Elephas maximus indicus: one gene and its partners. The protein of the gene in region 1 interacts with the protein of each later gene in a biochemical or structural test. Links are inferred from orthologs where the notes say so. Each region holds a gene or a part of one and is shown on either strand. Other genes may lie near its edges.

What was found.
Region 2: the proteins of RALBP1 (region 1) and DLG4 interact in a biophysical measurement, tested with the Homo sapiens proteins (2 studies listed by IntAct, with this or other methods). The link is inferred for Elephas maximus indicus from reciprocal best matches to the Homo sapiens genes RALBP1 and DLG4.
Region 3: the proteins of RALBP1 (region 1) and RALA form a complex in vitro, tested with the Homo sapiens proteins (3 studies listed by BioGRID). The link is inferred for Elephas maximus indicus from reciprocal best matches to the Homo sapiens genes RALBP1 and RALA.
Region 4: the proteins of RALBP1 (region 1) and SYNJ2BP form a complex in vitro, tested with the Homo sapiens proteins (2 studies listed by BioGRID and IntAct, with this or other methods). The link is inferred for Elephas maximus indicus from reciprocal best matches to the Homo sapiens genes RALBP1 and SYNJ2BP.

What each region holds. Positions count from the first base shown.
Region 1 is NC_064829.1:13,772,960-13,780,289, forward strand, and holds the start of RALBP1 (ralA-binding protein 1), read right to left. Parts: upstream 3,002-7,330; 5' UTR 2,763-3,001; intron 1-2,762. UniProt on the Homo sapiens protein: Multifunctional protein that functions as a downstream effector of RALA and RALB. As a GTPase-activating protein/GAP can inactivate CDC42 and RAC1 by stimulating their GTPase activity.
Region 2 is NC_064837.1:13,634,186-13,641,464, reverse strand, and holds the start of DLG4 (disks large homolog 4), read right to left. Parts: upstream 3,009-7,279; 5' UTR 2,746-3,008; coding exon 2,655-2,745; intron 2,344-2,654; coding exon 2,245-2,343; intron 2,057-2,244; coding exon 2,016-2,056; intron 1,347-2,015; exon of another isoform or gene 936-1,346; coding exon of another isoform or gene 906-935; intron 1-905. Other genes in the region: ACADVL (very long-chain specific acyl-CoA dehydrogenase, mitochondrial), read left to right, coding at 3,720-3,766, 3,842-3,917, 4,179-4,244, 4,336-4,408, 4,499-4,563, 4,653-4,787, 5,219-5,363, 5,604-5,733 and 3 more. UniProt on the Homo sapiens protein: Postsynaptic scaffolding protein that plays a critical role in synaptogenesis and synaptic plasticity by providing a platform for the postsynaptic clustering of crucial synaptic proteins.
Region 3 is NC_064826.1:101,842,149-101,850,106, reverse strand, and holds the start of RALA (ras-related protein Ral-A), read right to left. Parts: upstream 3,004-7,958; 5' UTR 2,759-3,003; intron 1-2,758. UniProt on the Homo sapiens protein: Multifunctional GTPase involved in a variety of cellular processes including gene expression, cell migration, cell proliferation, oncogenic transformation and membrane trafficking.
Region 4 is NC_064828.1:83,064,691-83,071,769, reverse strand, and holds the start of SYNJ2BP (synaptojanin-2-binding protein), read left to right. Parts: upstream 1-4,064; 5' UTR 4,065-4,180; coding exon 4,181-4,244; intron 4,245-7,079. UniProt on the Homo sapiens protein: Regulates endocytosis of activin type 2 receptor kinases through the Ral/RALBP1-dependent pathway and may be involved in suppression of activin-induced signal transduction.

The DNA of each region.
Region 1 (7,330 bases):
TGACACATGAACAAAACCAAATCAGTTGATGTCCAGTCAATTCCAATTCATGGCAACCCATGTGTTTCAGAGTAGAACTGTGCTCCATAGGGTTTTCAATGGCTATGACATTTCCAAAATAGATTGCCAGGTCCTTCTTCTGAGGTACCTCTGGGTAGATTCAAACCGTGAATCTTTCAGTTAGCAGCAGAATACTTTGTACCCTTTGTACCACCCAGGGACTCAGCAGGGAGTTAAAAATGGATTCAGCTGGTTTAGGTGTCCCTTCTTTGTCCTTTCTCAATGACTCCTGTGTGCCTACAAGATAAAGTTGCAATTACTTCAATGGCATACGAGACCATCCATAGTCTGGTCTCTGCCTACCTCCCCAGTTTCATGTCTTGCCACCACCCTGTACTCTAGCCAACTATACAAACTACTTGCAGATCCTACAACTCCCCATGTAATTTTAGACTCCCATGCTTTTGCTCACTGTTCCATCCACCAAATTGTCCATCTTTTTTATGCCTACATACCCTAGCGACATAGTGGTTAAGTGCTGTGGCTGCTAACCAAAAGGTCGGCAGTTTGAATCCACCAGGCACTCCGTGGAAACTCTCTGCGGCAGTACTACTCTGTTCTATAGGGTCTCTACGAGTCGGAATCGACTCGACGGCAACGGGTTTGGTTTTTTTGGTTTACACTTGTTTTCATCACCCACTAGATCTAGTTTTTCCTTACCACCCCCTCCTTCCTCAATCCCTTTCTCTGCCTTTCAGAAATTGATCACTACTTCCTTTTACACCCACTGGACCCCTATACTTTTTCTAATCAATGTAATCTTTAAAATGTATTACATTTGTTGACAGTTCAAGTAAGAGAGTCTTATCACTCTGAAGGCAGGGACACTGCCTTATCCATCTTGAAGAACTCTTCATCTGGCAAAGTACCTGCTACATAATTCCTCTTTATACTAATGATGTGCATTTCGCCTTGTCCCCTCTTGCATATACTAACACAAGCTTCTACCAGGCATTTTCTTTCAAAAAAGAAAACATATTTTCAGGTTATATTCTGGACCCAATCTCTCCTCGCTAAACAAACAACTGTACAAACACAACTGTACAAATTAACGTGCATTTCTGATGCCGCATCTACCTTCCTAAATTAGAAGAGATATGGCCCCTGCAAGATCTATAATGAGAAACAGCATGTTGATGAGATAGCAAATTAAATTATAATGTTACTTTGTTTCAAGACACATTATTTAAGGAATTACTTTCCAACAGCTACTGCTAAAGCCTATCTGACTTGGATCTGTGGGTCACTCTGAAAAGTGGGAACTACACTACTGACTTCCTCCCTACCCCTACTACTGCCAATACTATTATAGCTCACATTAATTACTCCTGTTCAGGCAGGTACTCAGAAAGGAATTATCAAGTCGCCCTGATAATTCTAAAAGGAGAATGTGAAGTGACCTTTCCCATTCGCAGTCCCACTCATTCAGATGTGCTGCCATGGGGAGCACCAAACCATTCCTTGTTGGTAGCTGCTGTGGAGTCAATGACGACTCATGGTGACTGCACGTGTGCAGAGTGGAGCTGTGCTCCACAGGGTTTTCAAGGCTGTGACCTTTCAGAAGCAGATCACCAGGCCTGTCTTCAGAGGCGCCTTTGGGTGGGTTTGAAGTGCTAACCTTCCAGGTAGCAGTTGAGCACTTAACCATTTGTGCAACCCAGGTACTCTGGCCTATTCCTTATCGCCACTTAAATACTTTGCGAATAACTGCTCGAGTATGATGGAATGCAATCCAAAGTATTGCACCATTAGAACACGCCCACTCCACTGAACAAAAAGTTTAGTGAAAGCTTTTCTTATCGGTACTGAAGTCAATGCACCTACTGCAGTACTTCTTTTACATACCTTCAAAATAACTCCAACTGGAAATTTAACAATATTCAAGAACTCTACTAGGCCTTAGAGGACACATGCTGCTTGCTCAAGAGGGCTACTCTGCAGTAGTGAATCCCAAAGCTTGAAACAGCTTAATTACCTCAGGTAAGCCTGAGGTGTGCAATATTTTATAAAACCTGTTTCGCTCGCAAGACTACAGGATAAAAAAAAAAAAAAAAAAAAGCTGACCTCAATTAAGAGCATTTTGGCACAAGCATATTTGAAAAACATATTTGAAGAACAGTTGTGAAAAGCATCCTCAACGCTAGAGCTGCCAGTCCTTTCCCAGTAAAACCCAAACTAAGGACCAAAGTCCCCAACGGACCCCCAGTGCTTCAATGCCAGCGCTGGGAAAAACTAAGAACCTTTTTCTAGTCCCCTCAGCATGCACTGGAGACAGGTCAATATTTCGGAAAAGACTAAAAACTAATGATAATATAAAAGGCTGAGTCCTCTCTCCTCCGTTCAGGTGTGCCTTAAAGAGCTCTCCTGGGGCCTGGAGAATCAGGGGGGTCCTTGGTTCCTAACTCTTCTACAGACCCCGGGAGCACCAAATCACAAATGCAGATGCCGTTAGGGTAGGCCCGCCCCGCAAGTTGGGGGGACGGTTACCAAGCCAGCAAGAAATGGGGACGAACCTTGCCCAGTATGAATCAATATTAGGGCAGCCACGCCCCCCAACCCCCAACTCCAAAACGGAGTGCGGCGAGCGCCGAGCCCAGCACGCTGCCTGACAGACTCGGTGCGAGGCCGGCGCCGGAGACGGGTCCTCGGGCAGGCGAGGGGCATCGTGGCGATCCGGCACACCACCACTCCACGCGACTGACCTGTGCCTGCTGCCGCAGCCGCCGCCTCCCCGCGCTCACGCTGCCGTCGCAGCCACCGTAGCCGCCTCCTGCGCGGCGCCCCCGGTCGGCCTCAGGAGCCCCATTCCCACCCCGCCCAGCCTCCGCCTGTTTACAATGACTGGGACGAAACAGGACGAGCCGGCTCAATGCGCACGCGCATTCAGTCCTCCCGCCGCTGCCAGCTTCCCGGGTTCCTGTCGCCCGTAGACTGACTGCTTAGGCCGTCAAGGGCAAACGCCCCGTGCCCTCGCGCGAGGCACGCCGGGAGAAGTAGTTCTCGTACGCCCCACTCTGGGCCTTCACGGGGCCGCTCGTAGAAGGAGCACACTACAACACCCAGGAAGCTCCGCGCTTCCTCCGGCCCAGGCGCTCGCTCCGGGGACAGAGGGAGCGCGCGAGAGTGCGCGCCGCGCTAGGATTGTGCAGGCGCCTGCGCAGTTCTGGTCTTGGGGGACTGGGTGGGACGAACACCTACCCCATAAACGTATTAGCCAAGATCGTTTGGGACAGCTCTTGTGATGGTCTTGAGAAAGGAAATAGCTTTCCTCTCCACGCTCTGACCAGCCTGTGTCCTCAGCTACCGAAGCTCCAATCTTGTGCCGGCTTGCTTTAGTCGTCCTAACCAGTTAGACGAGCCTGGGAGGCCGGCCCAGCCTGCCGCTGGGTGGGGCGTCTTCCTGGCTTCCGACTGGGTGCGGAACCTTTTATTGCGGTGGGAACTCTTGCTTGAGGGCCTTGGAAAAAGGAAGCGGCGAGGGCCAGTGGGGGAAAAAAGGCTGGTGTAAAACTTCCACGGAAGGACCGTCCGCGGAATTCCTGAAATGAGTGTTGACAGGATCAGCCCTTGGTTCTTGGCCGGCTGCGGAATTGCTGTCTTCTACCACCCTCTTTGGCACATTTACAAAGCAATACTTGAGTTAGAAATGCCCAGACACATGTTCAGCGCGCAAACAACTGAATCATGAGGAAGAGTGGAAGTAACTGGATTACTCCAGAAGTGAGGGCTAAGGAAAGTCCTTCCAAGGCTTAAAGAATTGTTCTGCTGATGCTCCTTGAAGGCTGGAAACCCGGGTTGGTTGGTTTGTTGGAAGTGTTCTTGTTTTATAAAATTTGGCTGTTTATTAGGGAAGAGAGAGGATTTGGGGTAGATAGTCCTTCACAATCACTTCCATCCCCACATGACCGCTGCAATCCATCCTGCAGTTTTTCTAAAATCTGATAAATTTGTCTCCTGCGCTCTGCATTTCCTACCCAGTAAAGTTCAGGCCTGGTGGCACAGTAGTTAAGTGCTGGCTGGCAAGCAAAAGGTCTCCCACAATTAGAACTGAGACGGTATGGGGTAGCCATTGTTTTTCTGACTGTGTAAAAGCTTTCTCATTGCCCCTTCTGGCAATAGAACAATCTGTTCTAACCACTGGGATGGGCATGCAATGGTGCCAATTGCAATAATACTCTTTGCCTTTGGCAACATGCATTGGGCCAAAGGATAGGCACTGACCCAAGCTGGGCATTATGGAGCCCTTGCCTGAAATTGCTATATGGACAGAGAACGGGAAAAAAAAAGCGTTCTGCTGAGGTTTTGCTCATGGCCATATGCCCTGCAACATAAAGAGGCCTGTCTGCAGTAAGAATAAAAGAGGCCAAAGGACGGAAACAGAAAAGAAAGGAGAAATGAAGAGGAGAGAAAGCAGAGCTGGCCGCATAATGACTGTAGTTTCAGTCTCAGAGGCTGATCCTTAAGTGGTTGTGAGCATGTGAGTCTAGCTGGGTGAGCCAGTATATTCATTTATTTGTCGTTATTTAGGGCCAGTTTTTGTGGGCATAGAAGATATTTGTTGGTTGACTCTCAGGCATTTGTTTCACCTATTTAAGCCATGCAGCATATCCATATCCTCTTGCAACTGTGAGCTCTGCAGAGCTCTGAGTTTTAAAGACGGCCAGTGAGCTCTGCAGAAACTTGTACTGGGCTTCTAGTAAAATGCAGCTTCCTCACACTTCTGGTATGATGTGAGTATATGAGGTCTGGAAATATGGTAACTGTTTTCTTCCTATAAGGGGGGAACCTGGAGGTATGCTGGCTTACGGAGGAGGGCACCAGTGGAGGAAGGCACCGGTAAAGCCTCAGGATGACATCAATACTATTAATTGAGTGCTGGGGAGATGAAGAAAAACCTTGTTCTTGATGGCATAATTAGAGCTGCAGTATCATACCTTTTGTGAATTGTGATCCATAAGTTTTCTATATTGTTCAAGCCAGTCTGTATTGGGTTTTCTGTACTCAGAATTCTGAAAGTCCTAACTAATTGAGTTGGACTTCTCTTATGACACTGAAAGATCATGACTAATATAGGTTACTACCTACATAAAAAGAATCTGTGGAAGGGACTTTAGTTACGACAGCATGACAGGTCAGCAATTCCTCTGTACACAAAACAAGTATAAAACTGGAAAAAATTGTCAAAAACAACCATTTAGAACACTGGAAGTCAACTAAACATAGATGACAACTTTAGAGGCATCTAGAAAAAGTGATAGAACTTCAAATAGGAACAGTGGAAGTCTATGGCCTACTTGCCTAAGGCCGCTCCTATCCTCCATTGTTGCCTCAGCTCCATTGAGAAGAACAAATACTACCAGCATGAGTAGGCTACCCAAGAAAACCAGCAGCTTTGCTGCCAGAGGAGATGGACTCAATTTGTGGTAGAAGGTAAAAAAAAAAAAAAATGGCTTTACCAGTTAAAGGTAGCAAACTCAGTTGCAAATGAACAGGGAAAACTCATATCTTTGCTACCCCAAAGTTGCAGTTCTAGGTAGAGTAAATGGCAAACCAGGCAGAAATATAGCTGGGAGATACTGGAAATAAGAGTCATTGAAGCGCTGTTCTCCACACATCTCTGAATGACTGGGAAACTGTACATGTGTGGTAGTAACCCAAGAGACCCACTGAAAAAAAAGTGAAAGCCAAGGCGGATTTGGGAACTGGTAGTAATTTTGAATGCATTCCTCCATCCACACATAGATTAATTGACAGAAGGAGGAAGACAAGCTCAAGTTGTTTGAGTACAACTTTTGCTCAGCTCATTGACAGATCACTCAGCCATGCAGACATGGGGTAACCTCTAGAAAGCCAGGTTAAAGATAAAAATCAGAATAAAAAAAAAGATTAAAGAATTGATCTGTGTCAGACCAAATTAACAACAGTAACTCTAAAGCAAGATGAGTGGTCTATGGGGCAGTGAGTGTAAGTCAATGGTAGTGAAAAAACACGGGGACAGATAGCAAGAATAGTGTTACAACATGAAAAATGTAACCAATGTTATTGAACTATCCGTTGTAGAAATTGTTGAATGGATATATGATCTGCTGTGTATGTTTACACCAAAAATAAATATTAAAAACAATAAACCGAGCAGAAACACAAGAATCACAACCCATTGGAAAGGCAGATCCGCAGTTTAATTCTAGGTGAGATGCAAAAAACAAAACGCTCAGAAAAATAAAATGGCATCTAGAGTTGCCGAAATATACAAAATATTACATTTTCAACAAAGAAAGGAATTCATGCAAAGAAACAGGAAAGTGTCACCCGCTTACAGGGGAAAAAAAAATCAATAGAAATTGACTTTGAGTGGGCCCAAATATTAGATTTAGAAGACAATCTCTTCAAAACAGCTATTTTAAAAATAAAAGGAAATGTTTCAAGGAATTAAAGGAAAAGATATTTAAATAGAGAATCTTAGTAGAAAAATAGTTTATAAAAAAGAAACAAGTGGAATTTCTACACTTAAAAGTATTGAAAAAAAAAAAAAATCACCCAGAGCGAAGAAGAATGAAGAAAACCCAAGACACAAGAACAATATTAGCCCAAAGGACTGAAAGACCACATGAACCAGAGACTCAACCAGCCTGAGATCAGAAGAACTAGATGGTACCGGCTTACCACCAACAACTCCCTTGTCAGGGATCATAACAGAGAGCCCCAGAGACAGCAGGAGAAAAATGTAGAACAGAATTCACATTCAAGTAAAAAGACCAGACTTCACTGGTGCGGCAGAGATTGGAAAAACCCCTGAAACTATGGCCCCCAGATGCTCTGCTAACCCAGAACTGAGACCATTCTTGAAACTCACTTTTCAGATAAAGATTAGACCGGCCTATAAAACAAAAATTAATACATGTGAGGAGTGTGCTTCTTAGTTCAATCAAATACACAAGACCAAATGGGCAGATCCTGTCCAAAAGCAGGACAAGAAGACAGGAAGGGACAGGAACTGGATCAATGGAAACAGGGAACCCCAGATGGAAAGGGAAGCGTGCTGTCACACTGTAGGAATTGCATCCAATGTCACAAAACAATGTGTGTATATTTGCATGAGAAGTTAACTTGAGCTGTAAACTTCCACCTAAAGCACGATAATAAAAAAAAGAAATACATAATAAGTGAATCAAATACATTCAAAAAAATCTATCAATCACTTTCAGAGAAGTCCAAAAGAAGGGAAAAATGTGCAAATTATTATGATAGAATTTGTTATTAAAAAAAAAAT
Region 2 (7,279 bases), on another chromosome or scaffold:
CTTGATCCCAAGCGTCAGGGGTAGCAGGAACATTCCCCTCCATCTGCTCTTCCTCTTTCTGGACCAGAGGTAGATGCAATGTGGGAGGAGATGGGGATACTGGGCACCTGCCTGGGCCACCCCAGATTTCAGACCACCCACCTGGTCTCCCTCCTTAAATCCCCTCTCTCCCCAAACCTCTCATCTTCCTCCTCAGGAGCTGGCAACCACTGCTGCAGTAACCCGCCTCCCATGGGGGTAACCAAAATCCTAACCTCCCATTCATTCCCTCAGGTGATTCCCCTACCAGGCCCCAGTCCTCTTGACAACTCCCAGGTATTCCCGTTTCATATAATCAAATCCAAAAATTAATAGTGCCCTCAAATTGAGGGTGCATCCCCAAATGTATCTTGTTCTATGGCTGAAGGCCCACCCCTTCCCTACCAGCTGACACCCCCAGACCAGTCAGGAACTCACAACCAATAATCTAGCCTCACGCACAGGAGCCCCCAAAATTGGACAAGGCATCTGGAAGCCAGCTTGTCCCCAGGAGGCAAGAGGGCCACCCTACACCTAGCCCACCTTCCAACATCCACAAGCCTCCATGTGAGCCATGCTTCTCCTTAAATAAGTCTCCTGCAAGCATCAATGGTGAACCCCCAAATCCACCAGATCCTCCCAAAACCATGCAACACCCTAAATTTTCCGTTTCTCTACAGGTACAAAGAGATCACCCCAGAGAGCACCTGTGGCCAAACCCAGTTTTTTCTGATATATGAACCCCAAAACTAAATTATGATCCCGAAATTCATCTTACTTCAGATGCTCCCACTCCAGCGCCGCCACCCCTAGATTAGGCCTATCTAACCCCTCCCCACAAACTCGTTACCCTCCCCCAGTTTATAGCCCCCCCCCATCACGCTTACCTTGGTTGTCACTATACAGAGACAGTCCATGTTGGGGGGCCTGGCCGCGGCGGCGGGTAAGGGGCTCTGACTTCATCGGAGTTTCGTTCCTCCCCTCCGCGGGTTCTCACCCCTCCCCCCTCCGCACCCCACTTTTGCAGGGGGGGCCAGGATGGGGGGAGGGGTGAGAGGGGGAAGAGGAGGTCGGAGAAGGGAAGGGTAGGGGAGCGTGGGAGGGAGGGGAAGGGGGCCCTAAAAGGGGGTCCCCAGTGGAGGGGAAGGGGCTTGGGGAGCACACCCCGATTCTCAGGAGGGGCGGGGGCAGCGGGGGCTGGCAGCCCCGGGGTTCGGGGGCTGGGGCATGAGCTGGGATGGGGGAGGGGAACTGGATTTCAGGGAGCCCCGGGATTGGGGGAGTCTTGCCTAATAGCCAGGGCCTAGGGGCCGTGGCGGGGGAGTGGGGTGGGGGGGTTGGAAGCGGCTGCGGCCGAGGGAGCCGTGGAGCCGAGGAGGGAAAGGGAGAGAGGAGGAGAGAGGAAGCAGGGGGAGGGAGGGAGGGAGCGAAGAGCGAGAATGGGGGGGGGTGCCTTGACAGAGTTAACTCCTTCGGTGCTGGCAGGAACCCGGATAATGGGAAAGGAGCTAGAAGCAGAAGCAGAGAGGCCCTGAGGCAAATGAGGAGACCTGGCAGCCACCAGGGAAGCTACCAAAGACAAAGATGAGGGATTTCATTTCTTAGGGGAGGAAGCACCTAGAGTTTGGCTGGGAGCACCCACGACTGTTCAAATACAGGCGGGTGACCATGGTGGGAGGTAGAGGGGGAAGGAGGGGCTGGCAGGGGAGAATCCCTGGGGGCCTGGTTCGCCCTCAGGGTTCCCAGGAGGAAGGTAACTATGTATGCCCTGAACTCTTTAGCGCCTGAAATTGGGGCAGGCAGAGAAAACAGGGAAGCAAGAGAGAGAAAGGGCTACAGAATGGGAGCAGGTACATTTTCAGTGTCCCCAAGCTCCTAGACCTGGACTCAGGATTTTCTCACCCAGGACCCCAAGTTTCAGTGTAATATGAGCAATACTTCCCTCACCCCTTCAGCCCTGCCTACTCCCTCAAGAAGCCAGCCACTCACCTCCTTACCTGACTCTCTGAGATGGAGGCCTCATAATAGTCCAGGATGTCTGTGACAGAAACAGAACTGAGTTACTCTCCTCCATTCTGGGATTCTCGGGCCACCTGTGCCATCATCTTGCTCATCAACGCTGGTGGAGAACACTGCCGGGAAGACCTGCACCGGGCTCCCAACTAACCCTGAAGTCCATGCTCAGCCCCTTCCACCTCTGTCCCTCAGAATATTGGGGCTACTCACCCAGCAAGGCCTGAAAGAGATCACTGTGCAGCACTGTGAGGAGCGGGGGTGCCCACCACAGTAGTGGAGGGGCCAGGAGCCAGAGAGCTGACCTGGGAGCTGGTAAAACGCAAGTGAGGGAGGCTTGGGGCAAGGAAGAGACCAGCCCAGAGACAGAGCCAAACACTCACCTCATCTCCCCCACCCTTTGCCCTTTCACCCCAGACCCCAAGGAAAGACTGGGGAGAAGGATCCCAGAGTCCCAGCCCCCAGGCCACCCCCTGGGCCTCCCCACAAGAACCCCTGTCTTTCACCTCTTGGTCTCTCCGACATCTCTCTTCTCTCACTTTAATCTCCCAAATCCCCCCAGATTGGAGTTGAGCTGCCTTCTCCTGACCCAGTTTTAGCTGTTAGGTAATCTCCGAACTGACCTGACCTGCTGGCTGTTTCATCTTTCCCCAGGTTCCCAGGCACCACCACAGCAAATTCCCCAACACCCTGGCTCCCTCTTCCCATAACCATAATAGTTTAGCTACACTTTCCTGAGGGTCTTGGAAAAAGGGTCTTCCCTAAAAGGAGGCTGCCGCAGCACAAAGGAAAGGAAGCAGAGCCCAGCTCTTTCCCCTCCTGGGCCTGTCCCCAGCGGGAATTGTGGGAAGAGGGCTATAAATTATCAGGAACTTCTTGACCCAGGGCTGGAGAAGCATGGGAGAAAGGAAGACTCCAGAACTTCCACAGTTGCTCTCAGGCCTGGGACACATGTATCTGCCTAGAGGTCTAGCCTGGATGCAATGGTCTCTGGAAGGGCCAGAGAGCAGACAGACAGAGATATGATTACAAAGTCTCAGCGGCCCTAAACAGGAAGCAGTGAGCCCAGAGGGTCCTTTCTACTGTGAAGTTTTAGGTGTTTCAAGAGTTAGTGACACCTTCTAGGTCTAAGGAGGATATATGTTCGGGACATTCACACCTCCAGTTCAGTCCCTCACCTGCCATTTTCTTCCCTTTTGTTTTGATGGAAAGAGACAGATTTCACAAGAGACCTTTAAAGAGCCAACCTCCTTGCTTCTGGCGTTCATCTTACACAACTCTTTCCTCATCTCTCCCTTCTAACTCCTCCTGGAAGTCCTGCCTCAGTCTACCTTCCATCTCTCTGGATGCAGTCGCCTAAGTTCCTCCCTCTTCTCTCCCACCCTATCTCATCAGGGCAGGGCAGAGCAGCAGACCCTAGCTCAGACAGAAAGGAAGAAGGAGTCTGGGGAAGGCAACGGATACTTGGAACTGCTCCAGGTCAAACAGACCGCAGGAGCTGGGGGGCGCTGCGGAACTGCAGCCCCAGCATGCCCTGGGGCCCGGAAACCCCTCCCGTCCGCCTCCCGGTGCATTTTGAGACGAAGTCAAGGGGTGGGGCGGACCTTGGGAGGCGGGGCGAAAGCGAGGAGTCAGCCGGCGCTCCAGGCAGCTGAGGACTGTGCGGCGCCGAGGTGCAGGGGACTGAGATGGCTTCGAGCGTGGGGCGACAGCTGCTGCGATTCAGGGGTGGCAGGTCTGTGTCCATCTGGTGGGACGGGGGACGTCAGTCCCGGGGACTGGACCGGGACTGAACCCCTGCTCCCCACAGCTCGCGGCCCAGCGCGCTCTTGGGGCAGCCCCGGCCCGGTCCGACCCAGCGAGCTTATGTCAGTGGGGCTGCTCAGGTAAGCGATGGAGGCATTGGGACGAGGGGTGTGGGAGTGGGGGCCCACCTCCCTGCCACCGGCAGGGGTCCCCCTCTTCGTGCCAGTCACCTGCCACCCAGTCTGGCACCGAAAATAGGGGAAAGGCCAGGCCAGGGTGCCCTGTAGATGAAACTAGGGGAAAGGTCGCGGGATCTACCCTTTTCCGCACCCAGCGGGCCCCGTGCTCTCCTTGGCACACCGAAGTCCCTGTCCACGTCCTCGATAACCATTTTTCTCTAGACGGCTGTGGACCAGTCAGATTCCCTCTCCTCTGATGCCTCCACCAAGGAAAGCCAGGCCAAGGTGGTATGTGGCCCCTAAGTCGGGAGGAACTGAGCTGGGGCAGACACCCTTCCCCTCCCCAGCCACCTCCCTGAACTGCCTTCTCCCTGCCCAGGAATCTAAGTCCTTTGCTGCAGGGATGTTTAAGGGCCAGCTCACCACCAATCAAGTGTTCCCATACCCATCTGGTAAGGGCAGGAGTCATCAAAGCCGGGCGGAGGCAGGGCAGCCTTCCCTGTCTGCAGCCTCACCCCGCCAGCTTTCTTCCCCCCCTGCAGTGCTCAATGAGGAGCAGACTCAGTTTCTCAAAGAGCTGGTGGGGCCCGTGTCCCGTTTCTTCGAGGTGAGGAATGATCGGGGTTGGAGAGTGGAGGCCTGGGTCTCTAGTAGGGCATAAAAAGACCTTGGATGTGGGGTCTTCTGTCGTCCCAGGAGGTGAACGATCCTGCCAAGAATGAAGCTTTGGAGCGGGTAGAGGAGACCACCTTGAAGGGCCTCAAGGAGCTGGGGGCCTTTGGTCTGCAAGTGCCCAGTGAGCTGGGTGGCGTGGGCCTCTGCAACACCCAGGTGAGGGGTACCCTTGTCATTCCCCGGGATGCCATTCCACTTCAGCTTGGCAGCTTCAGGGCATTCATCACTTTTCTGGGCCCTGGGTCTCTGCCAAGCAACTGTCTAGGGCCTGTGGGATGTTGACTGTCCCCACTGTATAGGCACCCCCCAAAAACAAATTACATCCAGTTCCCTAGGGCCGTGGACCTCACCCCGGGTCCCAAGTCCTAACGAATCTCTAAGCTGGAGACCAACCACTTGACAATGGTAGGAAGCCGCCCACCCACCAATACCTGGGTCAGATATATCCTCTGCTGTGCCCTTTCCATGGTTCCACTTCCCTCTTTCCACACTGTGGGGATGACCTAGGCCAGGCCCTGCTCCATTCTACTCTCCTGCCAAGGGGAGGTCTTCGGGCAGTTACAGCCCAACCGCCTGCTTCCCTCCAGTATGCCCGCTTGGTGGAGATCGTGGGCACGCATGACCTTGGTGTGGGCATCACCCTCGGGGCTCATCAGAGCATCGGTTTCAAAGGCATCCTGCTCTTTGGCACGAAGGCCCAGAAAGAAAAATACCTCCCCAAACTGGCATCTGGTGAGACAGTCCTACAGACAAGGAGTGGGGTGTCCTGGGCTTGGCACAGATTTGGCTGGTTGGCACTTAGATCACCAGACACCTGGACATGTTGGTTGGGAGCGTCTCAGGCGGCCTCACTGTGCTGGTGGGGAAATGCAAAGGAACTAAATGTTCCTGGAGGTGTTAAGGGGTGCAGGCTGTTGGGGGACTTTGATGCCCATCAGGATCCATGGTAAAGGTGCTCTCTCCCCTTCACAGGGGAGACTATGGCCGCTTTCTGTCTAACGGAGCCCTCCAGCGGGTCCGATGCAGCCTCCATCCGAAGCTCAGCTGTACCCAGCCCCTGTGGAAGTTATTATACCCTCAACGGAAGCAAGATTTGGATCAGGCAATTTTCCTCTCATTTCTTCCTTTTCTCCACCTCTCCCCGATTCCAGGCCCCACTGTTCTCAGTCCTCCTGACTGCCCCCTCATTCTTCTACAGTAATGGGGGCCTGGCAGAAATCTTCACAGTCTTTGCCAAAACACCGGTTAAAGATGCATCCACGGGCACCACGAAAGAGAAGATCACAGCTTTTGTGGTGGAGAAGAGCTTTGGGGGTGTTACCCAGTGAGTGTTGGAGGAAGAGGCAGGGCCAAGGAGGGGGCAGTACTGGGCACCAGGGCAGATGGTTGCTACATGTCACCCTGGCAGGGGCGGGGCGGGGCGGGGGGATACAAAAGCCAAAGCAGACAGCATGTTCCTGTTGGGACTAATATGTATGAAACCGATTTAAAGCTTGGACTCCTAGCAAATAGTGGGCCCAACCCACTAGCAAGACATAGCCAGGCCTCTATAGCTCAGCCTTTATAGCCCTCTGGGCATCGTAGGAACTGTGGCCTGTATCCTCTCATAGTCTGGGATTTGTAGTTCCTCCTTGGTTCATAAGGCATGAAGGGGCAGTTTCCTCCTCTGCTGGCAACTTGTTGAACACAACTCTGCTTCTCTACTCTGCCCTGTCGCAGTGGGCCCCCTGAGAAGAAGATGGGCATCAAAGCCTCGAACACAGCAGAGGTGTACTTTGATGCGGTGCGGGTGCCATCGGAGAACGTGCTGGGTGAGGTGGGAGGCGGCTTCAAGGTCGCCATGCACATTCTCAACAATGGAAGGTTTGGCATGGCTGCAGCCCTTGCAGGCACCATGAAGGGCATCATTGCTAAGGTGGTGAGTACCCTGCCTGAGTCCCTCCTGTTACTGTTGCCATCGACTCCAACTTATAGGGACCCCATCCAACAACCATCCTGTTGCTGTCAAGTTAATTCTAACTCATAGCGACCCTATAGCTAGCCTGACTCTGAGTCACAGTCCCCTCTGACTCCCTTGCAGGCACTCCCTCCACCACAAAACCCTCCCCACAAACAGCTCCTGAACTATTAGCTTAGGCTTTCATCCAGTGGGGACTGACCTTGGCTGTGGCCAAAGCCCCTCCCTCCAGCCCCTCTGCTGGGAAACTGCAGAACTACCGTGTAACCCACGTGCCCTTTTCCAGGTGGATCATGCTACTAACCGTACTCAGTTTGGGGAGAAAATTCACAACTTTGGGATGATTCAGGAGAAGCTGGCCCGCATGGCAATTCTGCATTATGTGACTGAGGTGAGAGCCCTTCACCCTCCTCCCTGGAGCCTTTCTCTCTGCTGGGTCAGACTACAACCCCCAGCAGCACCTGGGGCAGTGGGTCTCCAGCTTCACACCAATGCCCTAGGGGATGCGGAGAGGCATAGTCAGTTCAGCTTCTGCACATGAGGCGCGCTATTCTGCCGAGGTGCTTCCCAGAAGTTAACGCTACCCCCACCCCAACGCTTCCTGATCTCTTGCAGGAAGTCAAATGCCTGAGCCCTGATGAACTGACTCAGGGGACCAAATATTTAGACTTGCATAACATAGCGTTACAGA
Region 3 (7,958 bases), on another chromosome or scaffold:
TTGGCTCAATCAGAATCACCGTTTCCTCAGCATTCCAGGATTAACTGCAATATCCGTGCTCATACTTGCGAATCCAGGTAGGCAATCAACATATGAGAACTATTATTACTAGGAGAGTTGTTGAATTAAAGGGAAATCTGACCTGTGTACAGTGGTTATGTTGCTGAGATAAAAGAATTGCACTGTTTCCTTAAATTAAAAAAAAAAAACAAAAAACCATTACTGTCACGTGGATTCTGACTATAGCGACCCTTTAAGACAGAGTAGAACTACCCCATGGAGTTTCCAAGGAGCACCTGGTAGATTCGAACTGCTGACCTTTTGATTAGCAGCCACAGCACTTAACCACTATGTCACCAGGGTTTTCAGTGTCTCCTTAGTGTCTAAGAATTTTATAAAACAAGCATAAACTACTTCCCTTCTTTTTCAAAATCATAATCCTTTTCCTCATTAACATTCACAGCCTCTTATTCCAGTATTTTAAAAGTGATTATCCTTGCCACATACCAACTCAGGAATATAAGTGCATATTATGCGAATATACACATTTACAAGAAGAGATAAACTGGTTTATTTATGTTTTGTGGAAGCTGAACTTGGAAAACCAGTACAGGATCACCACCAGATAGTTGGAGGAAAGAAGACATCAGCAGTTTTTAAAATCCAACCGTCTACAGACAAAAATCTTCTCTCACAAATAGTAAGCAAAATTCTCTCCCATAATAACCCATTAAAACTCCCGTAATAAACCATCAGAATAAAGTGCTACACTGAAAAACTATTTCAAACAAGTGATATAGATGACGCATGCTAAGCAGATACACTATGGAACGGCATATGGATCTCTGAAAAGAAAAGTCAATGTAGCTATTCATAAACTATGCCAAGGTCATATTAGAATGTCAGAAGATTTCATGCATCCACAGGAAGAACCAGCCACTCTAAGCAATTCTGTGATACATCATGTTTTCCAAGCAGTGGTAACTCCCAATTTCCTCTTTAAGATAGGGTATGGTTATCAACTCAAAACAAGAAGTTATATAAATCTCTTTCCTGATAACCCCGGACAAACATCCTCAAGTAGTAAGCATTTAACACTGGAATATAAATTTTATTATAACATCCCCTCATAATCTCCCAAATATAATTTTAACCTTTCAGAGAAGGATAGATAAAGTTTTAGCAGACAAGAGAGTCTTCTTGAATTGTTCTTTGACCCTGCTGAAGAACAAAAAGAAAAGCAAAGTCTTATGTACAAGAAATTGGAACAATAACAAAAAAAATCTAACCAAACAAAAATAAATGACTCCTGGAAAGCCACTGTGAGACCACCTACTCATTCATTCATTCATTCAGTAAAGAAATGTATGAGTAGCTTCTAAGTTCTAGGCACACCACATGGACACACAGCAATAAGACATGGCTTCTGTCTTGAAGAAACTGAAGGTCCAAAAATAATGTTTTAAGAGTCGCAAAAGTTATTTTATAACAATTCTGTATTAGTAGTGTCAGAAAAATATAAGCTAATAAAATATATTTAAATACTTTAATAAGCATAAGGCAAAAGGAATGCCTTCTACTGTGAGTTTACTGAGATTCATTATCGATTTTTGGAACATGATTCAAGTTGTAATTTGCTTTTAGCAAAAGATTAACTTATGACACGTTCTGTTAAGAAGAACGCCAAATTTGTTCTTATACATTAATGCAACTCTCTTCAAAGGATGGTTTGCTTTTAAGTGTAACATACAAACTCAGTTTTTAAAGGAGGAGAGAAAGAAACTAAAAAAAAACTAGAAAGCCTTTGCATCACAGAAAATTAAAAAAAAAAAAAAAAAAGCATTTCCCTAGAGAAGTTTTTCCCTCCCACACCAAATATAATTTGTAAATTAGGTGCTTTTCAGCTCGACAAGTAGGGTGTGGCACTGGAGCTCTCACACTATCTCAATGACACTTGGATGAGCTCTCACAAGTCTGGACATTCAGGTTTCCCAGCAAAGGCCAGTTAACTCCCTAATTCTCCCTAAATCTTAAAACAACACTGCCACCTCTGCGCCGTCATCCCTGCCCACTTACACACATGTACCCTGGCTAAAGCATACAGTTCACGTCTTCCACATCTGGAAATCCTTTAAGAACGAACGGAGAATAAATCTCTACAACCGAAAATATCTACACTCTCTGCTTCCTCGTTTCATAGCTTAGATTACCCGAATACGGGTTAAACCTGTGCAAGAGCTCAGGATCTGCTATTCAGTTCAGTGCGGAGCGTCTAATAACTTCAGGCTGAAAAAGCCATTCCTTTAACTGGCACAAAACACCGGCAGAGATGCTTAAAAAGCAACCGCTTTCGCAAAGGAGTGGAAAGAAAGGGAAGGGAGGGGGTGGAGGAAGGCGCGGGGACTGCGGCGGAGGGTCCCCCCAGTTCACCGGCACCGCCCGGGGACCTCGGCGTGGCGGAGCGGGGACGGCCCAGAGATGCGGGGTGACCTTCCGGCGAGACTAACTCGGACGTGCTACCGGGCGCGGGGGACCTCGCCGCAGCCGCCAGCTCTCGGGGGCGCAATCGCCCGCACAGCCGCGAACGCGGCGCCCGGGATTCCAGCCCGGGCTCGTCCCCCAGGCAGAACGCGGGATGTGCAATCTCGGCAGCCGGGCCCTGCGCCTGGGCCTCGGCCCGCCGCCGCCCGGACACACCCCCGCCGCCGTTCTGTCGGCCCAAGCCGCTCCCGGGGCGCCCAAGGCGGGCATCACTCACCTGCACCGCGAGCCGGTCCGCCGCCCCACGGGCTTCGGAAGCCGCGGCTGCACTGACTCCGGCCGGAGAGTGCTTCGCCCTTGTCCTCAGAAAGGCACCGCGCCGGGGAGCGGCTGAAGAGGAGTCAGACGGGCGGCGGCGGATCCTGGGCGGCGGGAGGAAAAAGAGGAGGAGGATTCCCGGCGCTCAGCTCTCGGGAGATCCACCCTCCTCCTGGCCGCTCTGCAGCAGCCGCCGCAGATCACTTCCGGGGCGCCGGAAAGCGGGCGGGGCCGGCCGGGGAGTAACTTCCCGTCCGCGAGCGGCGAGTAGGGCGGACACCGGCCAGGGCTGAAGAACAATGGTCGGGATAGTGAGGGCTAGCGGGGACCCGCCCCCTGGGTCCCTAGACCTGTCTGCGCCGCGTTTCGGGCGGCCGCACCTCGGCTCTGCGTCCCGCGAGGTGAAATCACCTCCCGGGGGCCCGGGCGTGGCCGCCAGGCTCGCGGAGATTCCCGGATCTGGGCGTCGGCGCCGCGACGTCCTTGCCTCGTCTCTTTCCTGGGGACCAGGAGGGGGTTCTTGGGGGAAGGAGGGGAGAGCTGAGTCCGCCATCTTGCTTTTACTGGGGCAGCCCCTTCTCCCGAGTCGTATTAGGGTGGAGACCACCCGGGTCCTGTGGCCAGGGTTTCCTAGAGTGCAGCCGGCAACGTGGCTGGATGCGGGCCGAACCCTAAGAGGTGGGTTGGGTCAGTCGCTTGCCCGGGTTGGGGGGTCCCGTTGGCTGCTGCGGGCCTCATGCTTAACTGCTGACCCTTGAAGAACTCGCCTCCGCAGGTGGCCAGGGAGCCCTTTCTGAGTGGCTCAGGGACCCTCCTGGACACAGCGGTCTGGAGCTTGGTGTGGCACTGAGATCAGCCTGCAGCCCCACGGCACTTTGATTTGGGAACTGAAGTTAGAAGCGGTTCCTTTTTAAATTCCACCACAGATGCTAAATAGATCTGTTTGCATAACATCTGTTGGGAGCTACACATTGTTATCTCGCGACGTTCATTCTCTTATCTCTCCTCTCCCCCCCACCCCCAAAAAAGTTACGGGTACCAGCTATGTGCAGGGCATGACTTAATCTTTGCTCTCAAGGAATGCCCAGCCCAGCCTAGTGGGCGGACAGATATGAAAGCAAATAATTATGATTGGAAGCACGGATATCAAGGTATACAGAGGAAGGAATGGATGAGTTTACTGACTTTGGCTTAGAGTTTGAAAGATAAATAGGAATTTTTCAGGCACAAAAATAGGGGATGGAATGGCAAATCGGAATTGGAATAGAAAGAACTTGCAGCATGTACACAGGTACAGAGACAAGAAATAATGTGTGCCGAGAGGAATGAGGAGTATTTACAGGATTTAAAGTTCAAGCCTGAGTTGCTGAAGAAGATGAAACTGGAGAAGCAGACAGAAACCAAGAATGAACTTTCATGCCATGGTTAAGCAGTGAGGAACTCCTAAAGGATTCAAGTAGAGGAATGCCTCTGAACAGATTTAGGATTTAAGCTATCCTGTTGGTGGAGGACAGATTAATTGGGGGGGGGGGGTGAAGGTGGGGAGGAAGGTGGAGGGAGCAGAAAAATGAGTTTAGTTTTGGAGGTGGTGAGTTTGAAGTATCCGTGGTGCTATACTATGGCAGTTGCTCTATGGGCCTAGAGTTCTAGGGAGGATCTGGGCTACTGTTACCACGTCAAAGCAGATCATGCATCTCACGTCCTTGAACACGGTTTCAAAACCATTTTTTTCTCTCTACCTTAACTTGGGAAAATTGCTGAAATATTACATTAAAAAAAAAAAAAAAGTTTCCACCAGAAGAACTGGATTATGCCCAGTAACCGTTACTGACAGTTCTAATCGGAGCCACAATAGGTGGACCCTGATAGAATGGGGGAAAAATGTGAAACAGAAGAACCTCAAATTCATTTACAAAAAAACAATCGGATCAACTGGACTGGTTGAGAATGGAGGACTCCCCAGGAATGCTGCCCTGAGATACTCTGAAACTAACTCCTGAAGTAACCTTGTAGCTATATAATGAATTGGCTCAAAAATAATATCACCCATCAGTACTGTGCTCCTTTAAAAAGTCACCTATATGAGCCCAAACGGTCAACAATTATTTTAAAACAAAGATGAGAATGTAAGGGGGTAGGGAAACTAGATTACTGGAAATGGAACAGCCAGGACAAAAGTAATGAGAATGTCCACGTATTGTAAAGAATGTCACTGAACAACTTGTACAGAAGCTGTTGAATGGGAACCTAAACTGCTGTGTAAACCTTCACTGAAAACACAACAATGTATCATTAAGAAAAAAAAAAAATTCCCAAGGGATGGTATGTGCTGTCTGTAGGCCAAGAGTCAGATACTTGATTGTCTTCAAAGGACTGTAAAGGTCAGTATTACCAGAAACTGAATATGACATTGGTAACTGGTATAACGTAGTAAACTCATACAATGAAGTATTATCTCTGTTGATATTTTAATAATAAAAATTGGTTTATTTCATCGGTGAGATAATTTAGTTAGACTGGCTATGGGCCAAGGATTGAGAATAGTGAGTTATACAGATAATTTGAGTGGAAAACTAGAGGAGGATGAGTTCAAGAAGAGTGAGCAATGGGAACACAATGAAAGGCAACTTCAGATTCATTAGTCAGCCTGTCTCAGCTGCTCCTCGGCTGTTCACAGCTATGCTAACCTAGCATAAAGCAGTATGAAATAGAATGGTTCTTTTTGAGCAGAAGCTTCAGAAAGCCACAAATAGCAAAAGGCCTGTAAGGTGGCAAACCAAAGACTACTTATTAGTTTTTACTTTATACCCCTGTATAGCAACATTTTTTGACACAAAAATGAGGAACTCTTTCATCAACTTTTAGTTGTTGATTATTCAAATATATTATTCTAATTTTTCCTAGAATAGAAATATATTTAAGTGTATTAAATGACCATGTAATGGGTAATGTATTAAACTGTAAACGAGAAGAATTAACTCACAGTCTCTTTTTCGTTACTTAATCACTATATAACCCTAGCAAAGTCACTTAACCTCTCTATGCCCTAGATTCTCTGGCTGTAAAACAGAGATAATAATAACTTTCTACTAGCTGGCCCCTCAGAGGTATTAAAAGAAATAACAAATTAATGCTTTAAAAGCTCTTTGAGGTACTTGGATGAAAGGTTATAATTGTAAGCACATATTATTAATAATAGCACTAATATCCAGCAGAACTCATAGGCATTTCTAAATTTGCTATGTGGACACCTCGGAGAACATGAAGGATTCTGCTTTAAAATATGCTTTTATATATATATATATATACATATATGTATATAAAAAAGCATATTTTAAATTTGACTCATGGGTTTAATTTCTATTTTTATCATGCCTTGTGTATAAACAATTATGGTATGTTAGTAAAAGAGTAAAAAGACATTTTAGTGATGTAAGCTCACTGCTAATTATAGCTACTGTCTACTTTGGGGGAAGTACAAGGCAGGTATGATTTTGTCATTACTCGTATCCCTGTAGAACCACACAGAATTTACATTCAGTTACATGTTTTCTTGTGAATCATCTGTCGTGCCCATCACTGTTTAGTTGGAAAAACTGTGAAGTTTGTCCAATGTTTATTCCGAAGGTAAATGAAATTTTTCTCATTACTTTGATAGTTTCATTCTTTTTTGAAAGGTTATGCATATGAAATTGGTTTGTGCTTGACTACTAACCACCCAGCTGCACCACAGAAGAAAGGCCTGGCGATCTGCTTCCATAAAGATTTCAGCCAAGACACCCCTGTTGAGTACAGTTCTACTCAGTAACACATGAGGTCACCATGAGTCGGAATTGACTCCATGGGAACAGATTTGATTTTGGTTTTATGCGTATATAAATCCATTTAAATATATTTATGGTTATATAGTGTATATATTTTTATGCACATGCTTATATACTAATTTATAAAAAATATGAGTGTACATTAACTTTACATAGATATGGATATATATAAAACCATTGCTGTTGAGTAGATTCCAACTCACAGCAACCCTATAGGATAGAGTAGAACTGCCCCATAGGGTTTCCAAGGAGTGCCTGGTAGATTTGAACTGCTGACCTTTTCGTTAGCAGCCATAGCTCTTAACTACTACGCCACCAGGGCTTCCACTTTCAATGTAATAACTTTAAAAAAAAAGCCTCATAGGTGTATTCACAGCAAATGAAGTGCAGCAGTGGGCACATGCTAATGGAATTCACTGGTCTTACCAAGTTCCTCTGGAGCCCTGGTGGCACAGTGGTTAAGAGCTCGGCTGCTAACCAAAAGGTCATCAGTTTCAAATCCACCAGCTGCTCCTTGGAAACCTTACAGGACAGTTTTACTCTGTACTATAGGGTCACAATGAGTCAGAGCCAACTCAACGGCAACAGGTTTGGTTTTTTCAAAGTGTATATATTCATGTGTAAAGAGAGGGATTTATCTCAAGGAAACAGCTCATGTGGCTGTAGAGGCTGGCAAGTCCCAAGTTCTTGGATCAGGTGTCAGGCGGGAGGCTTTTCCTGGCTCATGTAGCTGCAGGGGCTGATGAACCCAAGATTGGCAGGGCAGATGGCAGGGCAGATGGCAGGCCACTAGCTCACAGGCTACAGAGGCTGACGAATCCAAGACTGGCAGGTAAGATAGCAGGCTGCTGGATCACAGGCTCTGGAGACCAACAAATCCCAAGAGCTGCGGGCAATAGGACACGTTGCTGGCTCAAGTCTCAAGAGCCAGAGGTTAGATGATGATGAACTGGGTGCAGGCTCCAGAGCAAGCAAGTGAGCTTTGCCAGAACATCCATATATATATTGGATGCAGGCCACAACCATGAGGAGACTCCCGTTACAACTAGTTGGCTGATCACATCGGCTCATGTGGAGGATAACTACATCATTACTGTCTTAGTCATCCAGTGCTACCATAACAGAAATACCACAAGTGGATGGCTTTAACAAAGAGAAATTTATTTCCTCACAGTAAAGTAGGCTAAACGTTCAAATTTAGGGAGTCAGCTTCAGGGGGAGGCTTCCTCTCTATGTTGGATCTGAAGGAAGGCCCTTGTCCTCAATCTTGCCCTGGTCAAGGAGCGTCTCAGGCACAGGGACCCCAGGTCCAAAGGACATGCTCTGCTCCTGGTG
Region 4 (7,079 bases), on another chromosome or scaffold:
AGCTATGGGGAAACGGGGCTTTTATGTGATGTGGGCAGCAAGATGGTGGACGCACAGGTGTACTGGAGAGGGAAATTCTAAAAGGTAGCCAGGAAATAGGAGGTGATATGGTTATTCATTCCACCTGTTGCTGCATCCTCCACCGAGGTCAATTATCCATCACCGCTGGCTCTTCTGCACGTGCGGGGCAGGCCAAATTTGGCTCGGGCTAGTTTAAGGATAGGCATTCACAAGGTCGGGTTACACCACTTCACACCTACCAGACTAGCAAAAATTAGAAAGACCAATAACCCAATTATTAGTGAGGATGTGAGCAGTGGGAACTCTCAGATAGTGAGTATGTAAATAGGTACGATCATCTTGGAAAGCGTTTGGTATTATACGCTAGTGTCTGAACTTGTCTAAATCCATGAGTGATAACCAGGATCAGCACAAAGGAGATTCCTATGAGGTAGAGGTCAGACATACCTCTACTCTCCAATTTTTTCACCATTTCTTACGCCAGCCATTCTCCCCACAGCACTCATAGACTCATAGTGGCCCTAAAGGGCAGAGTATAACTGCCCCATATGGTTTCCAAGGAGTGCCTGGTGGATTTGAACTGCTGACCTTTTTGGTTAGCCGCCGTAGTTCTTAACCACTATGCCACCAGGTTTTCCACCCTTACTCCCAGGCAAGGCTTATTTCTTCCTACTTTGGTCTGTTCTGCATTTTTGCTTTTTGCCTTTATTACTGTAGGTATCATACCATGTGTGTCCCAGTTATCTAATGCTGCTATAACAGAAATACCACAAGTGGATTGCTTTAACAAAGAGAAATTTATTTTCTCACAGTTTATGAGGCTTGAAGTCCAAATCTAGGTACTGGCTCTAGGGAAAGGCTTTCTGTCAGCTCTGGAGGAAGGTCCTTGTCTCTTCAGCTTCTGTTTCCTGGTTCCTTGGTGATCTTCATATGGCTTGGCATCTATCTTCCCCCATCTTTGCTTGCTTACTCTGCTTCTTTTACACTTTGTAAAAGAGTGAGTCAAGATACGCCATACACTAATCCTGCCTTATTAACATAACAAAGACAACCCATTCCCAAATGTCATAATAACCACAGGCATAAAAACCAAACCCACTGCCTTTGCATGGATTCTAACTCATACAGACCCTATGGGACTGCCCATAGGGTTTTCAAGGAGTGGATACCAAAAAAATTAAACCCGTTGCCGTTGAGTCGATTCCAACTCATAGTGGCCCTACAGGACAGAGTAGAACTGCCCCATGGGGTTTCCAAGGAGTGCCTGGTGGATTCCAACGGCCAACCTTTTGGTTAGCAGCCGTAGCACTTAACACTACGCCACCAGCATTTCCAAGGAGCGGGTGGTAGCCCAGAATATATGATCTTGTATTTCACCTCCATCTCCATCCAGCTGTTTGAACAAGTAACATGTTGTTGTTGGTTGCCTTGCTGAATCAGTTCCAACTCATAGTGATCAGATCTTCTAGAATCACCTCCTGTGTTCTTTTCACCATTCCATATTAATTTCAGTGTTGGCAAACAAGGGGCCTTCTGGCTACATCTGCCCCTTGTCTTGTTTTGTTCGTTTAACACAGTAGCTTTAGTTGAGCTTGTTTTTCAATCTGAATTTGAATGCCTTTATATTGGACGTCCACTTTCCAATCCTCCAGGGTTCCTACCAATTCCTGTTGTCTAATTCCAGGTTAGGCGCCCTGGTGGTGCAGTGGTTAATTGCTTGGCTGCTACCCAAAGGTCACTGGTTGGAACCAACCATAGGATCCACAGTAGAAAAGACCTATTTCCTCCTGTAAAGATCACAGCCTAGAACACCCCATGGGGCAGTCCTACTGTGTCATAGAGGGCCGCTAGGAGTAGGAATTGACCCGGCACACAACAGCAACAATTCCAGGTTGTTTCACAGTTTAAAGTCACCTTCCTGGCCCTTAAGGCTTTTGAGTTTTGACCCCTCTCCATTAAGCACACTTTGGAATGTCCTATCCCCCAAATCAGGAGGGCTGGGCTGAAGTTACAGCTAGGTCATCTACCAGTCACACTGTAATGGTAAACTTAAAAAAAAGATGTAATTTTCCAAGTTGCCGAAAGGGAAAGACAACTTTCCCCTCTCTCTTTCTTAAGGACAACTCTTTGAAATGTAAACATCGAGGAATGTAATGCCCTACCTCCCCTCAGGTGGGAATTAGCCTAGGTGCCCTATCCCAAACTGTAAGTACCGCTTGCCATACAGATATTGTTAGGTGTTCTTGAGTCTGTTCGGACTCATAGTGACCCTATGTACAAGAGAACAAAACATTGCCTGGTTGTGAGCCCTCCTCATGATCGTTGTTATGCTCGAGCCCATTGTTGCAGCCACTGTGTCAACCACTTAGTCGAAGGTCTTCTTCCTCTTTTCCACTGACCCTCTACTTTACCAAGCATGATGTCTTTCTCTCGGGACTGATCCCTCCTGATAACATGTCCAAAGCATGTGAGATGATGCCTCACCATCCTCACTTCTAAGGAGCATTCTGTCTGTACTTCTTCCCAAACAGATTTGTTCTGTTGGAAGCCCAAGGTATATTTGATATTCTCCACCAACATCATAATTAAAAGGCGTCAATTCTTCTTCAGTCTTCCTTGTTCATTGTCCAGCTTTCGCATGCATATGAGGTGACTGAAAACAATCACCCTGTTTTCAGGCACACTTCAGTCTTTGAGGTGACATCTTTGTTTTTTAACACTTTAATGATGTTTTTTGCAGTAGATTTGTCCAATGCAATGAGTTGTCTGATTTCACTGCTGCTTCCATGGGTGTTGATTGTGGATCCAGGTAAAATGAAGTCTTTGACAACTTCAATCTTTTCTCCATTTATTATGATGTTGCTTATTGCTCCAGTTGTAAGAATTTTTGTTTTCCTTATGTTGAGGTGTAATCCATATTGAAGACTGTGGTCTTCGATCTTCATCAGTAAGTGCTTCAAGTCCTCTTCACTTTCAGCAAGGAAGATTGTGTCATCTGCATAACGCAGGTTGTTAATGAGTCTTCCTCCAATCCTGAGACCCCATCTTCTTCATATAGTCCAGATTCTTGGATTATTTGCTCAGAATAAAGAATGACTAAATATGAGGAAAGGATATAACCCTGACACACACCTTTCCTTACTTTAAACTACGCAGTATCCTCTTGTTCTGTTCGAACAACTGCCTCTTGATCTATGCACAGGTTCCTCATGAGCACAATTAAGTGTTCTGGAATTCCCATTCTTTGCAATGTTATCCATAATTTGTTATGATCCACACAGTCGAATGCCTTTGCAGGGTCGATAAAACACAGGTAAACATCTTTCTGGTATTCTCCGTTTTCTGCCAGGATCCATCTGAAATCAGCAATGATATCCCTGGTTCCATGACCTCTTCTGATGTGGCTTGAATTTCTGGCAGATCCCTGTTGATGAACTGCTGTAACCGCTTTTGAATGATCTTCAGCAAAACTTCACTTGTGTATGATATTGTTTTATTGTCATACAGATAGAGAAGTTTTATTTTTCCTTTGGATAAGGACAATTAACTAACACAAACGGCCACTCCAAGTGTGAACTACTAAAGAATGTATAACAACTGGTGCTGTCAGGTCCTCTTACATGAGAACACGCATGTAATGGATGGTATCTGCTTGGCTATGAAAAAGGGTGAGATTTCTTTCTGTCTTTGCAATCTCAATAGCAGGGCCTGTGATGCCCATTGCAGGCTGATTTAATGTTTACTGAACAATAAAGTTCTTTTTTTCCCCCTACATTTGAGGAGAGGACTTCCGGGGTATGCAGGAGATTTTATTTTTAATTTTTCCTCAACAATATCAATTTACTAATGCCTCCTACCTTTTTTTTTTTCCTACCTTTATTTAGTCTGCCTCCCCCACGCTTTCAACCAGTTAATTAGGATCGTAATGTGCTCTCCCCTCACCCCACATTTTGCTGCAAGGACCAGGTGAGAAAACGGAACATGTCGGCTGCGGGAACCACGACTCCCAGCATTCCTAGCGCTCCTAGCTCTCGCGGTATCCGCTTCCGATCTGGAGGCTGCTGAAACCGAAAGTGCTGGGCTAAGGAATTGAGATTGATTCACCTTCATCTGAGTAGTTTTAGCCCACCCAGGTGGGAAGCCTGGAGAGCACTAAAACATGAACGGAAGAGTGGATTATTTGGTCACTGAGGAAGAGATCAATCTTACCAGAGGACCCTCAGGTATGTGCTAAACGGCTCCTCCCTGGTAGTAGGGGACATGAAGGTGTGATTGCAGAGCAGACAGTTCTGTCAAGCCAGATTCACTTAGCCTCGGAGCAGGCAGGCCCCAACCTTGACTTTTCCTGCAACTCTTGCAGGCACGTAGGAGGAACGTATTGACACCCGTTGTTGGCCAGACACGGGACTGAGACATCCAGCTCATCTGTCAGAGGCATTATCATACCTATTTATAGTCAGGAAAAGTTTCTTTCTGCTAATAGTGGCAGAAAAACAGAGAAAAAAAGCACACCCCGTTTTTAGCCGACATACCGTGGACACCACGCCCCTTTCCAATCCAGCATCTACCCCTGTTTCTATGACCGACCGTTTAGTAAAACGGGGGAGCGTGATCGGTATGGACTTCGAATGCGTAGTCATTTTCCTGGTGTTAGGCTCCTTCCTTATTTTCTTTTCTGTGTAATTCATTTTGGGTGTTAACGAGTATGTTAAACAGGAAGAGACTCTAGAGATCTTCTATTACAGCATGTCCCAAATCTGATTCCGCTCAGAATTACCCGGAGTTTTTTGTTTTTGCCGTTTCGTTTTTTTTTTTTTTTAAAGTAAAAATGGTAACTCCTATGCCCAAGTTCTAGCGATTTGGATTCATTGCAGACTTTTTTTTTTTTTTTTTTTTTAAAAAGCCTCACATGATTCTGCTGCAGCCAGATCCTCCCTTAACTAAAATAAATGAATTTGTTGACTGACGTCTTCTTGATTTTTCCCAAGCATTTTCATGTCTTTGTCATGTAAGTTAATGAACTTAAGAGCCTAGGACAATAGAGCCACAAACCTAGGATTGAACTTAGATAAAGAAGAGTCATTTGAAGTTTACTTAGGTTTTTTTTTTTTTTTTTTTAGTTTGGTTCAGTTAATTAGGAAGGGTTTCAAGTTCCTGTTTATCACTTCCCAGCACTGGTTACTTGGCATATGGGTACTCCTAAGAAGCCTAAGAGTCTAATTCAGTTTTTCTTCACTGTGTCATCGTGAAGATATGCAAGTGAGAAATCAGTTAGCACTTCTAGAAACTCCCAGGTAATTTTGGTAGTCGCACAGTGATCTTTCTTTCTATAGAAGAAATATGAAAAGCTTCTACTTCCAAATAGGCATTTCTGTTTGTAGGCAGCATTGTCACTCTTTGTACAGCTTCCTACGCAGGGACCTGATGGTTTAATCAGGTAACTGCAAGAGCGTGTATACCTTTGCCCTTTTGTTCCTGTGTTCGGTTAGGGGCAAGAGTTTGGGGTAGTTGCAGGATTTGGGTTCATATTTTGGGGGCATAAGAACCTATTCTGTTTGCCTCAAAGGAAATAATGAAATCTTGGGAAAATAATGACATTGAAGAGAGTGTCTGGGAGGCAAAAAGGAGCTTCGCATGTAGCTTGGCATCTCTCCTATGCCTGCTTCCTAAACTATGAAAGGAGAGACTTGGGCTAGATGACTTCTGAGGTCTCTTCTACCTCCAAGAGTTCGTAATTCTTTGGCCCATTCCACGTGCTGTTTTACGATACCTATCATTTTGGGCTAACTGTGGTTGATCTGAAGAATCCTGAAAGGCAACGGTTGTAATCTCAAATACATTCAGGGGTTGAACAGTTTACCTATTACCTTTTTTAGAACACTGTCTTATCTCCAGCTTGTTTATAGCCTCTGAGGTCCTTGGTCAAGGACTTACCAAAGGTTTAAAGCTAGTAAGTTTCAAGAGCCAGGATTTTTGTGTGTGTGTGTGTGTTTTAGATGAAAGTTTACAGCACAAATTAGTTTTTCATTCAAAAATTTTATGCACAAATTGTTTTGTGACTTTAGTTGCAGTCCCTGCAGTGTGTCAGCACTCTCCCTCTTTCCCTTTCCACACTGGGGTCTCAGAGTCCATTCATCCAGTTTTCTTGTCCCGTCCTGCCTTCTTGTCTTTGCTTTTGGGCAGGTGCTGCCATTTGGTCTTATATACTTGATTGAGCTAGGAAGCACCTTCCTCACATTTGTTATTGTTTGTTTTATAGGCCTGTCTAATCTTTGGCTGAAAGGTGGACTTCGGGAGTCGCTTCAGTTCTGAGTTAGCAGGGTGTCCAGGGGCCGTAGTCTGAGGGGTTCTTCCAGTCACCGTCAGACCAGTAAGTCTGGTCTTTTTTGTGAATTTGAATTTTGTTCTACATTTTTTCATCCTCTGCCTGGGACCCTCTATAGTGATCCCTGTCAGAGTGATCGGTGGTGGTCTAGTTCTTCTAGGCTTAGTCTGATGGAGACTGTGGTTCATGTGGTCAGTTAGTCCTTTGTACCAATATTTTCCTTGTGTATTTGGCTTTCTTCATTTTTTTTTTTTTGCTCCGGATGGAATGGGACCAATAGATGTATCTTAGATGGCTGCTTGCAAGCTTTCAGGACCCTAGATGCTACTCACCAAACTACAATGTAGAACATTTTATTTATGACCTATGTTATACCGGTTGACCTAGATGTCCCCCAAGACCATGGTCCCCAGTCCTCAGCCTCAGTAACTCAGTCCCTTAAGGTTTTTGGATGTGTCTGTGAAACTTCTATGACTTGACCTCGGTCAAGTTGTGCTGACTTCGCCTATATTGTACGTTGTCTTTCCCTTCACCAAAGTTAACACTTGTCTACTATCTAGTTAGTGATATCTCCTCCCTACCCTTCCCTCCCTGGTAACCATCAAAGATTGTTTCCATGGGTAAACCTTTTCTTGAGTTTTTATAATACAATACTTGTCATTTTGTGACTGACTTATTTCACTCAGCATAATGCCCTCCAGATTCATCCATGTTGTGAGCTGCTTCACAGGTT